Macaca mulatta: one gene and its partners. Each later gene encodes a partner of the first gene's protein in a complex. Links are inferred from orthologs where the notes say so. Each region holds a gene or a part of one and is shown in the gene's direction. Other genes may lie near its edges. The genes, in order: RAD18, MAGEA4 and UBE2B.

Region 1 (3,647 bases):
CTCTAAGCATAATGCTTTCAGAGTCCATCAGTGTTGTAGCATATTTTAAAATTTCTTATTATGATTAAACAGTATTCTGTAGTATGTATATGCCATATTTTGTTTATCCATTTATCTGTTATGGTTATTTCCACCTTTTGGTAATTATAAATAATGCTGCTATGAGCATTGATGCTCAAATATCTAAGTTTCAGCTTAGAGTGGGATTTCTGATTCATATACTGGTTCTATGTTTAACCTTTTGAGGAATTGTTAAACTTTTCCGTAGTGGCTGCATTATCTTACATTCCCACCAGCAAAGCATAAGGGTTCCAGTTTCTTCACATCCTTATCAACGCTTGTTATTTTCTGATTTTTAAATTTTTTTAAAATTGTAGATGTGAAATGGTATGTAATTGTGGTTTTGATTTGCATTTCCCTAGTGACTAATAAACAATTTGTGCATAAGGTGCTGCCTCAGTATGTAACTCATGGTCTTTGAACAAATCGAACTTGTTCATGCAATTGTGAAAGGATATTTTTAGAAACTAGTTTAGCACTTGAGAAAATCTGACTGAATATTTCCCATTAAGAAAACTTTTTTTTATTAGTTGAACCTCTCTTGAATATCATTGATGGCTTGTATGTATTTATGAACATCAGTATTACTCTTTCTGGGGTTCAAAGGTGATTGCTGCTTTTAGATTGCTGTGCATGAATGAGATGTCTGAGAGGGTAAGGAATGTGAGAGAGGTGAAGACAGACACAGACTGACTAAAAAGATGAATTTTGTATAGCATCATACAACCGATATAATTGTTGCTCTTTAGGACAAACATTGAAGTGCTCATGTAAGTGAACAAGTTGCATATTCTCTCAAGTGAAAACTTAGCCTGTTTTTGTTGTGTGTCTCTGGGGAGCTCTGATGTCTGAGCCTCACTCCTGAGGCTCTATTTTGAAGTCCTGCATTCTGAGATCTAAGGGCAGGTAGGAAGGATAACTTATTTTTTATGCCTACAGATTATTGAATGCTGTTTGTCCCCAAGAAGGAATATATTGTCTAGAAGTGTATGTAAGAGTGGAAGAAGTAAGAAAAGAATACAGACAATGTGCAAAAATAAAAGATTGTTTTCAGTTGAATTCCTGTTCCCTGGTTTGCCAGCTTTTTTGCATGCGCCTCACTAGTTGAGTAATATAGTCCCTGGGTGAACCGAGTTGACTGGGGGATTGGCTCCTCTTAATGTGATCCTGGTATCTGTTTACAAGAGGAGTTCTTAGAGGTTCAGGATGGTCATCCTGGCTAACTTCTTTTTCTCTTTTCCAGATATACTTTAGAGGGTGCTGTTTTGTTTTGCTAATGATAGTTTATTGATAGCCAGATGACATTAGGAGCATATTTTTAGGAATTATACTCTTGTGAAGTATGCTGTTCTCCCGCTATAACAAAAACTTAGAACTATTTCTGAAAAAAATTTGACTGTGTGAACTTGGCAAGGTTTTTTGAAGAATGTGTTATGTTCTTTCCCCATAAATTCTCTCTGTATAAACAAACCTTGACAATTGTATTTTTATTGTGCTTCGTTGAAGACCACTTGCCTCTACAAGTGCTTGAGGAGTGATGTGTGAAAGCTCTGTTTCTCTGTGAGGAAACACATGAAAGGAGCTCTGTACTATTATTAGCACGTGTAGCTTACATGCGAAAGTACCTCCTCAGTTCCTGAAAGTTAAGGACAGCACAGATGAAAATCCCAGCAGAGTTTATGATGAGTAGGAGAATCCTGGGCACTAAAGAATCTTTCACAGATATTCTTCTCGCTCATATTTGTAGAAAATTGGCCATTCCCATATGCCACATTTTTGTAAACACTGCATCCTTCCAGCTTTTTGGGGTCTTTATTTTTATCTGCAATAAGAGACCTTAAAAGCTGAGAATATGACAAAGAATGCATGGAAATGTGATGTATATTGGATCAAATGGAAATATTCCTTATGTCTGATTAGTTGTCCTTTTCCATAGAGAATAATTAGATTCTATTTAACAGGTTTAGAAAAATGTCCAGATAGATTCACTATCATATAGTAGTGACATATATTGTGGTTGTCTTATTAGTTGAATCTGTAGTCTTTTTTTTTTTGGTTATATATCTTACGTTGGTTTGTCAGTGTTCTCTGATCTATGAAATATGCAAGAATTCCTCAGTGATATGTTAATAGATGCCTCATTAGAATTACAAGATTCTTCCTGCTCCTGGTTTTAAAATAAATTTTATTTTTAAACTAATTAATCTTGGAAAAACATGGGCTGGATAGTATAATTAGGTAGCACCATTGTAGTGTTAATTCTTGCTCTCTGGCTGTCACTAGAGTTCTGGAATCAATGTGACATATTCTTCAACTTTACTAAGTGCATATGGTAGTATTAAGTGTTGCAGAAGTAATAGGCGTACAGAAGTTGTAGATTTTAACGTACTCTTAAATTTATTTTTTCCTAGGACAGGAAGATAATATGACCTCAGTAATAAACCACTTTTCTCAATCAAAGCTGGTAACAAACCACTTTTCTCAATCAAAGCTGGACTCCGCAGAGGAATTGGAACCTGACAGAGAAGAGGATTCTTCTAGCTGTACTGATATTCAAGAAGCTCTTTCTTCACCAGAATCCGATTCATGCAATAGGTAAGAAACATGCAGGAGTTGATTATTTTAAATATCTACCTCATATGCACACATAGATAGTTAGGCAGAAATAATTAGAAAGTAGCTTTGAGGCATGGTATGGTGTGTCACTCTTACATTTCAGTCCCCTTTTACTGCTGGGTCATCTTCACAGTGGTAACAAGGCAGGATTTGGGAAGGAAGTACAGGGATCAGAGGGTGAGTTTGGTATAGGCTTTATATAGCCTTTTTATAGATATAAAAAGGCTCTATAGCCTTTTTATAGATATTTTTCCTACCGTTGGAAAAGAAAGCATGATAGGCAGTGAAATTTTTGTCAAGACAATGAGTGAAGGAGATAAAAACAACTGTATTGGAAAACAGAGATGATCAGAAAGACATGGCACATAGGAGAGTTAAGAAATGAAAAATTTAACTGAGTAAATAGATGGGGAAACTTTAAAAATGAGAAGTTTGGTAATGAGTCATTTTGAAAAGATATTTTAAAAATATATAGGGTTTATTTTACACACATGCATGCACACATACCATTTTTTGTTCTGGTCTTTCACTTAATATTATGTCATAAATGTTAACATTTCTATAGGTTGGCACAAAAGTAATTGAAACCACAGTTAATTTTGCACCAACATAATACCTTATGTTTATAATTGTTATTTTTAAATGAGTACAGTATTTTGTTATGTCTCTGTACCATAAATTACCAGACCCTTCAGTTTCTGTTAGAGCTCTGCATTTTTTCCAGTGTTCTACTTACGTGCCTGATGCTATGGTAAAGCTCTTCCTTTGTTCCTATTGAATACTTTTTTTTTTTTTTCATTTTTTCGAGATGGAGTTTTGCTCTGTTGCCCAGCCTGGAGTGCAGTGGTGCAATCTCAGCTCACTGCAATCTCTACCTCCCAGGTTCAAGCATTTCTCCTGCCTCAGCTTCCCAAGTGGCTGGGATTACAGGCCTGTGCCACCTTACCTGGCTAATTTTTTTTGGTATATTT
Region 2 (3,266 bases), on another chromosome or scaffold:
CTTCCTGCACCTTCAAGGTCACAGAGAGGAGAGGGCTATGGTCTGAGGATACCTGTGGCTCAGAAAGACGGGACCCCGCAGAGTCTGGCTGTCCCCTGTTCTTAGCTCGGGGGGACCAGAGCAGGGATGGCCTTATGTGCCAATCTTACTTGTACCATAGGCAGGAAGTTGGAGAACCTTCAGGAAGATGAGGTCTTGGAGTAAAGGGGCAATATCTGCTCATCTCAGGGGGTTGGGGGTTGAGGAAGGGCAGGCCCCGTTGGGAGCAAACATGAGTGACCCACAGGAGGCCATCAGAACCCTCACCCCAGGACCAAAGGGGTCAGCTGTGGACTCCCCGCACAGGGGTGACAGGATGTGGCTCCTCATTTCTGATTGCAGATCTCAGTGAGGTTAGGACCTTGTTCTCAGAGGGTTACTCAGGTCAACACAGACCTCTATCTGGTCAACAGACACAGTGGTCCCAGGATCTGCCAAGAGTCCTGGTGAGGAATGTGAGGGAAGATTGAGGGTACCACAGGGCCAGAACGCAGACGATGACTCCACAGAAATCAGCCTTGCTCCGGTTGTCACCCCAGAGAGCATGGGCTTGGCTGTCTGCTGAGGTCCCTCTCTTGTCCTGGGATCACTGATGTCACGGAGGGGGAGGCCTTGGTCTGAGGGGCTGCACCCAGGTCAGTAGAGGGAAGGTCCCAGGCTCTGCCAGGAGTTGAGGTGAGGACCAAGCAGGCTCCTCACCCAGGACACATGGGTTCCAATGAATTTTGACATCTCTTGCTGTCATTCTTCAGAGGACCTAGGCACATGTGGCCAGATGTGGGGCCCCTCATGTCCTGTTTCCTCTCAGGCATGTGAGTGCTTGATCTGAATTTCTCAGGCCAGCAAAACGGTGGAATCCAGGCCCTGCCTGGAGAAATGTGAGGGCCCTGAGTGACCACAGAGTGGACCATCCACTCTATGAGAGTGGGGACCTCACAGAGTCCAGCCTGCCCTCTTGATAGCACTGAGGGACTGGGGCTGTGCTTATAGTCGGCACCCTAAGGGCCCATGGATTCATCTCCTAGGAGCTCCAGGAACAAGGCAATGAGGCCTTGGTCTGAGACTTGTGTCCTCAAGTCACAGAGCAGAGGGTGCACAGGCTGTGCCAGCAGTGAATGTTTGCCCTGAATGCACACCAAGGGCCCCACTTGGCATAGGACACGTGGAACTTCAGAGAGTCTGACCTCACCTCCTGTTAGTCCTGCAGAATCGACCTCTGCTGGCCGGCTATACCCTGAGGTGCTCTCTCACTTCCTCCTTTAGGTTCTCAGGGGATAGGCCAACCCGGAGGACAGGATTCCTTGGAGATCACAGAGGAGCACCAAGGAGAAGATCTGTAAGTAAGCCTTTGTTAGAGCCTCCAAGATTCGGTTCTCAGCTGAGGCCTCTCACATGCTCCCTCTCTCCCCAGGCCTGTGGGTCCCCACTGCCCAGCTTTTGCCTACACTCCCACCTGCTGCCCTGACCAGAGTCATCATGTCTCTTGAGCAGAAGAGTCAGCACTGCAAGCCTGAGGAAGGCGTTGAGGCCCAAGAAGAGGCCCTGGGCCTAGTGGGTGCGCAGGCTCCTGCTACTGAGGAGAAGGAGGCTGCTGCCTCCTCCTCCTCTCCTCTGGTCCCTGGCACCCTGGAGGAAGTGCCTGCTGCTGGGTCAACAGGTCCTCCCCAGAGTCCTCAGGGAGCCTCCGCCTTACCCTCTACCGTCAACTTCACTTGCTGGAGGCAACCCAATGAGGGTTCCAGCAGCCAAGAAGAGGAGGGGCCAAGCACCTCTCCTGACCCAGAGTCCTTGTTCCGAGAAGCACTCAGTAAGAAGGTGGATGAGTTGGTTCATTTTCTGCTCCTCAAGTATCGAGCCAAGGAGCTGGTCACAAAGGCAGAAATGCTGGAGAGAGTCATCAAAAATTACAAGCACTGCTTTCCTGTGATCTTCGGCAAAGCCTCTGAGTCCCTGAAGATGATCTTTGGCATTGATGTGAAGGAAGTGGACCCCACCAGCAACACCTACACCCTTGTCACCTGCCTGGGCCTCTCCTACGATGGCCTGCTGGGTGGTAATCATATCTTTCCCAAGACAGGCCTCTTGATAATCGTCCTGGGCACTATCGCAATGGAGGGCGACTCTGCATCTGAGGAGGAAATCTGGGAGGAGCTGAGTGTGATGGATGTGTATGATGGGAGGGAGCACAGTGTCTATGGGGAGCCCAGGAAACTGCTCACCCAAGAGTGGGTGCAGGAGAACTACCTGGAGTACCGGAAGGTACCCGGCAGTGATCCTGCACGCTACGAGTTCCTGTGGGGTCCAAGGGCCCTGGCTGAAACCAGCTATGTGAAGGTCCTGGAGCATGTGGTCAGGGTCAATGCAAGAGTTCGCATTTCCTACCCATCCCTTCGTGAAGCAGCTTTGAGAGAGGAGGAAGAGGGAGTCTGAGCATGAGTTGCAGCCAGGGCCTGGGGCGGGGGTGGGGGGGTGGCGGCTGGGCTGGGCCAGTCATCTGCCCTGTGCAGCAGCTTCCCCTGCCTTGTGTAGCATGAGGCCCATTCTTCACTGTTTGAAGAGAGTAGTCAGCATTCTTAGTAGTGAGTTTCTGTTTTATTGGGTGACTTGGAGATTTATCTCTGTTTCCTTTTAGAATTGTTCAAATGTTCCTTTTAATGGATGGTTGAATGAACTTCAGCATCCAAGTTTATGAGTCGTAGTCACATATATTGCTGTTTATATAGTTTAGGTGTAAGAGTCTTGTTTTTTATTCAGATTGGGAAATCCATTCTATTTTGTAAATTGGGACATAATAACAGCAGTGGAGTAAGTATTTATTTAGAAATGTGAATTCACCGTAAGATATGTGAGATAAAGAAATTAAAAAATACTTAATTCCTGCCTTATACATACTCAGTCTACTCTGTAAAATTTAAAAAATATATACGCATACTTGGATTTCCTTGGCTTCTTCGTGAATGTAAGAAAAATTAAATCTGAATAAATAATTATCTGTGTTCACTGGCTCATTTCTTCTCTATGCACTGAGCATCTGCTCTGTGGAAGACCCAGGATTAGTAGTGGAGATACTAGGGTAAGCCAGACACACACCTACCCATAGGGTATTAGAATCTAGGAGCTGCAGTCATATAATTAAGGTGGCAAGATGTCCTCTAAGATGTAGAGGAAAAGTAAGAGGAGTGTGGGTATGGGGCTCCAGGTGAGAGTGGTCGAGTGTAAATTCCCTG
Region 3 (4,368 bases), on another chromosome or scaffold:
TGGCATGATGATGGCTTACTGCAGCTCAAACGATTCTTCTGCCTCAGCCTCCTGAGTTGCTGGGGCTACTCGTGTGCACAGAGACAGGATCTCCTATGTTGCCCAGGCTGGTCTTCAACTCCTGGCCTCCCAAAGTGTTAGGATTACAGGCATGAGCTAATGCCCCAGCTCATGAGGGATATTTTTAAGATATAGTTTCTATTTACCATTTTTCTCCATGTAACCCTGCCTGTGTGTCTTCCTCCTTTGCTATTGGAAGGGTTAGGACTGCAATGGCAGAAAAGCAAAAACATTAAGAATATTCAGCTTTTAACTTAGAAAACACATTGTGAATGTCTAACAGGACCTATCAAGAGTTAGGCCTGGCTAACTTGATCACTAAGGCAGTCACTGGAAGCTGAGAGAATTCAGGGTTTGAAGAAAGAGGTACAAGGAAAGTCGGAAAAGTTAACTCTGCTTCCATAGAACTAGGGGCAAGGTTGAGGCAATGCTAAGGTCCTCATTCCACCCTCCCTTTACCTGTTGAACCGAACAATTCCCCAAATGGATACAAAAGTACTCAGAGTCCTTAGTATAACAAAGTCCTGAAAGTAGGAATTAGCAGCAATACAGGGAAAGACAGTAACTACAAAAAATATTCAAGGTCTGTGGGAGGTCAACACCTCTGAACCCCCTGGTGGTGGGGGGGCACTTCTCGCCCATTTGCACCTTTCTTGCTAGTGTAAAAAACCTGAAGTTGTCTCAGGCTGGATAGATAACCCTCACTCAGGTCTGCTGGAGCTCTCCCCCACATATGAATCATATTTGTAGGTTTCTTTGACAACCAACCACTCATTGATATGCTTGGAAGACTGCACCCCCACATTCTTAAAAATACAATGGTACTCCCCCCCATAGGCAAGTCCCCGGACTCTGACACATATCTTCAATTGAAAGCAGACCCAGAAAGGAAAAACTGCATAATACACCATCCTTTAATGTTTGCCCAGAATTTCCAATACTAGAAACCCCACTGCAAAGCAGAAAGACTATTTGGTAGCTTCAAGGAACCATTTCAGGAGATTGTTGTGTGGCCCTCAGTATTCAATGCTGCCTTAGAAGATCTTGCGATCCTCTCTCTTCTTGCCCCAAGTACCAGAGTTCATAAGCCACTGAACCAACCAGAGGGGAGTTATTTTTGGTCCCGGTTTAAAGAAAACAAAACAAGCTGTTGATCCTCCCACGACCTCTTGGGTAATGTCTCTATACCTGTGATAAACCGAAAACAACTAATAAAGGTGTATCCAGCCCTCACCCTCTTAGACCCGCTTCACAGACCTGGCCGAAACTCACATCCAGGCGAGGCTCTCACGTGACCCGTTCTAAACGCGTCACAGGGACACGTGGTTCTAGATACTTCTCCCCCTCCCCCTCAGGGGTGGATTGTTGACAAGGCCGCGGGCAGTCACGTGATCTTACATCATCCCACCTCCTTTCCCTGAAATCCCTGGCCCGGATACGTCCTTCTTTCTCCACCCCGCCGAGCCTAAACTAGAGACGGGGAGGCAGACAGGATAGTGTGTCGGTTTCGTGGTCTCTGAATCCACAACCTCTAGTCTGAACACAGAGAACACAAATTTGTCGATCACTTCAGGAAGCCCAGGAAGAACCACGCCCCGCTGAAGGGCTCAGGGAACGCGCGCTCCCCCGTCCCGCCCCCTCCTCCCCCAGCACTCACTCTGTGGTAGCGGCGGAGGGCGGAGGGATCCGGAGGCGGCGGAGGGAGACGTCATTGCAGGGTTGTTTGTCAGTCTTGGCGGCGGCGGCGGCGGCGGCGGCGGCAGCGGCGATCCACAGTGATTCGGCCGCCGCGCCGGGGGGTGGGGGGGCTGCGCGGGACTCTTTTCTTTCAGACTGACCGCGGGGCAGCTGCGGAGCATGTCGACCCCGGCCCGAAGGAGGCTTATGCGGGATTTCAAGCGGTAAGGGCCTTCAGCTTCGCATAGATGACGGCCTCTCAAAGCTGCGGGGCTGCAGGGCGTGGATCCCGGACACCTTCCCCTTGTGACCCTCAGAGGGTCGGCTGTGGGCCCAGGGGGACTGGCGGAAGCCGGGTCCTACCTCGGCCCCTACTCTCCTTATCCTTGCCGCTCGCTCTGGCGCCCGAAGAAATTTCGATACTGCTTCCCCTCCCCCCAAAAAGTAAAACGATGTCGATCGACTGGTCTAGGGTTCCCCGCTGCCCATTTCGGCCAGCTGCCCGGGGTCTCGTCCAGGGGATCAGACGGGGATCAGACATCATCCTCCCGCCCCTGCACCCTGCGGAGACCCTTTCTTGTCCCCTCAAAGTGAGCTCCCGCGGGAGCTTGTTCTTCTCCGGCAGCACCAGTCAGCTTTGTTTCAAGGCCCCTCAGTCTTCTCCGAGGAGCCGGGTTGGGGTGAACCTCCCCAGCCCCCCACCCCCGCCAGTCCTTTCCATTTCTGCCGTGAGGGTGGGGTCCAGTGCGTGAGGCTCGGAGGTTAACCCATCCCCCGAAACCCGACTCTGTCCCCGCCCGCCTGAAAAGACCTTGGGAACTGACTTAGAGATCTGGGACCTTAGAGCTGGCCACCCCGGCTGCCAGTGCCTTCTGGAACTCAGATCTGGCTGGTGAAGAAAGCCCTATCTATAGCCTCCCGAGTCTGGAAAAATGCCTTCCCTTAGACTGGCGCTAATTTGATACTCCCTGGGCCTTCTTTGGTAAATAAAATAGGGTTTTGTTAGGAGGTATTGGGGTTGTGAGGAAGAAAATGATTATTCCGTTAGTTTACCTTTTATTGGATACTTAGAGACGTAGAAAAAACAAAATAACGTAGAAAAAACAAAATAAGTGAGAAAACATTTTGATATTCTGCACATTTTTCTTAAAATTTTTTCTGGGGACACCTACCCTAATTGAACAAAATAGCATAAAAACATAGATTTGTCGCTCAGGAAGTCACCTCTCAGCTATTATAAAGCCTATGTGAGGCATTTGGATTTGGCCAACTTATTTAATTCATTCGTAGCTTCTCTTAGCCATTTAAAGGTAGGCGTCAAGCAGTGCAGTTCTTCTAAGGCTTCTGTTTGTGGTGGCCTAATTTGCTTGAGATTGACTAAAAACCTTTTTTTTTATGTGGACTAGTTGCAAATTATGATGCCCCATGAAAACAACTCCATATGTATTTGTGAGTGTGTATAATGTAGCATTTTTAAATTGAGGTTACAGTCTCTGAAAGGAGATGCCCTTTTTGGTGCAAAAGTCATTTTTCTAAAGCTTGAAATCAGTGTATCTGATTAGCACTCATGACTAAAATTCAGATAGTAAACTAGTTCATGTCATTGTCGCCCTGGCTCCTTACTGTAATGCTCTGCTTAATTCTGAGTTGAATACATGGCACCTTTTGTAGTTTTCCAGAGATCTATAGGTTACAAGAATTTGACTATGACGAATGTGGGAAAGCCTTGTATTGAGTCTCCTGATTTGAGAGGTAGATTTGATGTTAGTGCAGAGCCTTTAAAATAGGGACTGGCGGAAAACCTACTGATTACTTTTTAAAGCCATTGCTGTTTGAAGCAAAAGGGATAGAGTAAATCTGCTGCCTAATACTAGTTTCCTAGTTAAATTTAATGTGTTTTCAGTCATTTCGTGTTTACACTGAGGTTTGCTTTTTTTTTTTTTTCTTGTAGCCATTTTGCAGAAGTAGCCGTGGTTAGGATACACAGTCTTTGCATGTTTAGAGCAGCAAAATCAATGGTTCTGTAAAAATATTACTTGCTTTTGAGGTTTTAAACTTTTTTTGGTATAAGAGGACAGTCTATATACATCAATTCTTGAAGAGATACTCTTGATAATATTGAAAGAGGGATGATTCTCAAGCCCTTCGGATTTTTAGGTAATTTGGAGAGGTATTTAATAAGTATATATACCTGGTTAATATATCTAAGTCATATGGTTCATTTTAGTTCACAATAACAAGGAAATGGAGTTAGTCTGTGTCTCAAAATAGATGGTGTAGTGTCTGTAGGTGTTTATGTGGCCTCCTTAGTGGCCTTAATGTTCAACTTTTTAAATTACAACGCTGGATTTCTAGGTTACAAGAGGACCCACCTGTGGGTGTCAGTGGCGCACCATCTGAAAACAACATCATGCAGTGGAATGCAGTTATATTTGGGTGAGTTGAAAGGTTTAACAAATAATAGGTGTGTGCTGAATCTTTAAGAAAAGTGAACATATAACAACTGTCTAGGAAAAGAAACTGAGGTAGAATGAGAGATCTTAAGGACTAAAACTGCAAGATAAATTAGAAAAAAATTTTTTTCAATTAGAGTTTTGGCCCAGCACAGTAGCTCAACGCCTGGGAGGATCG

Evidence for each region.
Region 2: the proteins of RAD18 (region 1) and MAGEA4 are in contact, whole or in part, in a crystal structure (PDB 9BD3), measured with the Homo sapiens proteins. The link is inferred for Macaca mulatta from reciprocal best matches to the Homo sapiens genes RAD18 and MAGEA4. Residues at the interface, in NP_064550.3 of Homo sapiens: Ser348, Phe350, Gln351, Leu353, Val354, Gln356, Ala357, Arg358, Lys359, Gly360, Tyr361, Lys362, Lys363, Ile364, Ala365; in NP_001011548.1 of Homo sapiens: Ser111, Val114, Asp115, Ala118, His119, Ser158, Lys160, Met161, Ile162, Ile204, Ile205, Gly208, Thr209, Met212, Glu224, Glu225, Val228, Met229, Gly230, His237, Val239, Tyr240, His290, Val291, Val294, Asn295, Arg297, Arg299.
Region 3: the proteins of RAD18 (region 1) and UBE2B are in contact, whole or in part, in a crystal structure (PDB 2YBF), measured with the Homo sapiens proteins. The link is inferred for Macaca mulatta from reciprocal best matches to the Homo sapiens genes RAD18 and UBE2B. Residues at the interface, in NP_064550.3 of Homo sapiens: Tyr342, Arg343, Lys344, Lys345, His346, Lys347, Glu349, Phe350, Leu353, Val354, Gln356, Ala357, Arg358, Lys359, Gly360, Tyr361; in NP_003328.1 of Homo sapiens: Pro20, Val22, Gly23, Val24, Ser25, Gly26, Ala27, Ser29, Glu30, Gln35, Asn37, Ala38, Val39, Phe41, Gly42, Pro43, Glu44, Glu49, Asp50, Lys54, Leu55, Val56, Leu73, Ser74, Asp151, Ser152.

What each region holds. Positions count from the first base shown.
Region 1 is NC_133407.1:147,684,858-147,688,504, reverse strand, and holds part of RAD18 (E3 ubiquitin-protein ligase RAD18), read left to right. Parts: intron 1-2,471; coding exon 2,472-2,655; intron 2,656-3,647. UniProt on the Homo sapiens protein: E3 ubiquitin-protein ligase involved in postreplication repair of UV-damaged DNA. Postreplication repair functions in gap-filling of a daughter strand on replication of damaged DNA.
Region 2 is NC_133426.1:158,172,764-158,176,029, forward strand, and holds the end of MAGEA4 (melanoma-associated antigen 4), read left to right. Parts: intron 1-1,302; 5' UTR 1,303-1,375; intron 1,376-1,450; 5' UTR 1,451-1,515; coding exon 1,516-2,469; 3' UTR 2,470-2,620; downstream 2,621-3,266. UniProt on the Homo sapiens protein: Regulates cell proliferation through the inhibition of cell cycle arrest at the G1 phase. Also negatively regulates p53-mediated apoptosis.
Region 3 is NC_133411.1:143,290,032-143,294,399, forward strand, and holds the start of UBE2B (ubiquitin-conjugating enzyme E2 B), read left to right. Parts: upstream 1-1,495; 5' UTR 1,496-1,917; coding exon 1,918-1,961; intron 1,962-4,092; coding exon 4,093-4,173; intron 4,174-4,368. UniProt on the Homo sapiens protein: E2 ubiquitin-conjugating enzyme that accepts ubiquitin from the ubiquitin-activating enzyme E1 and transfers it to a E3 ubiquitin-protein ligase. In vitro catalyzes 'Lys-11'-, as well as 'Lys-48'- and 'Lys-63'-linked polyubiquitination.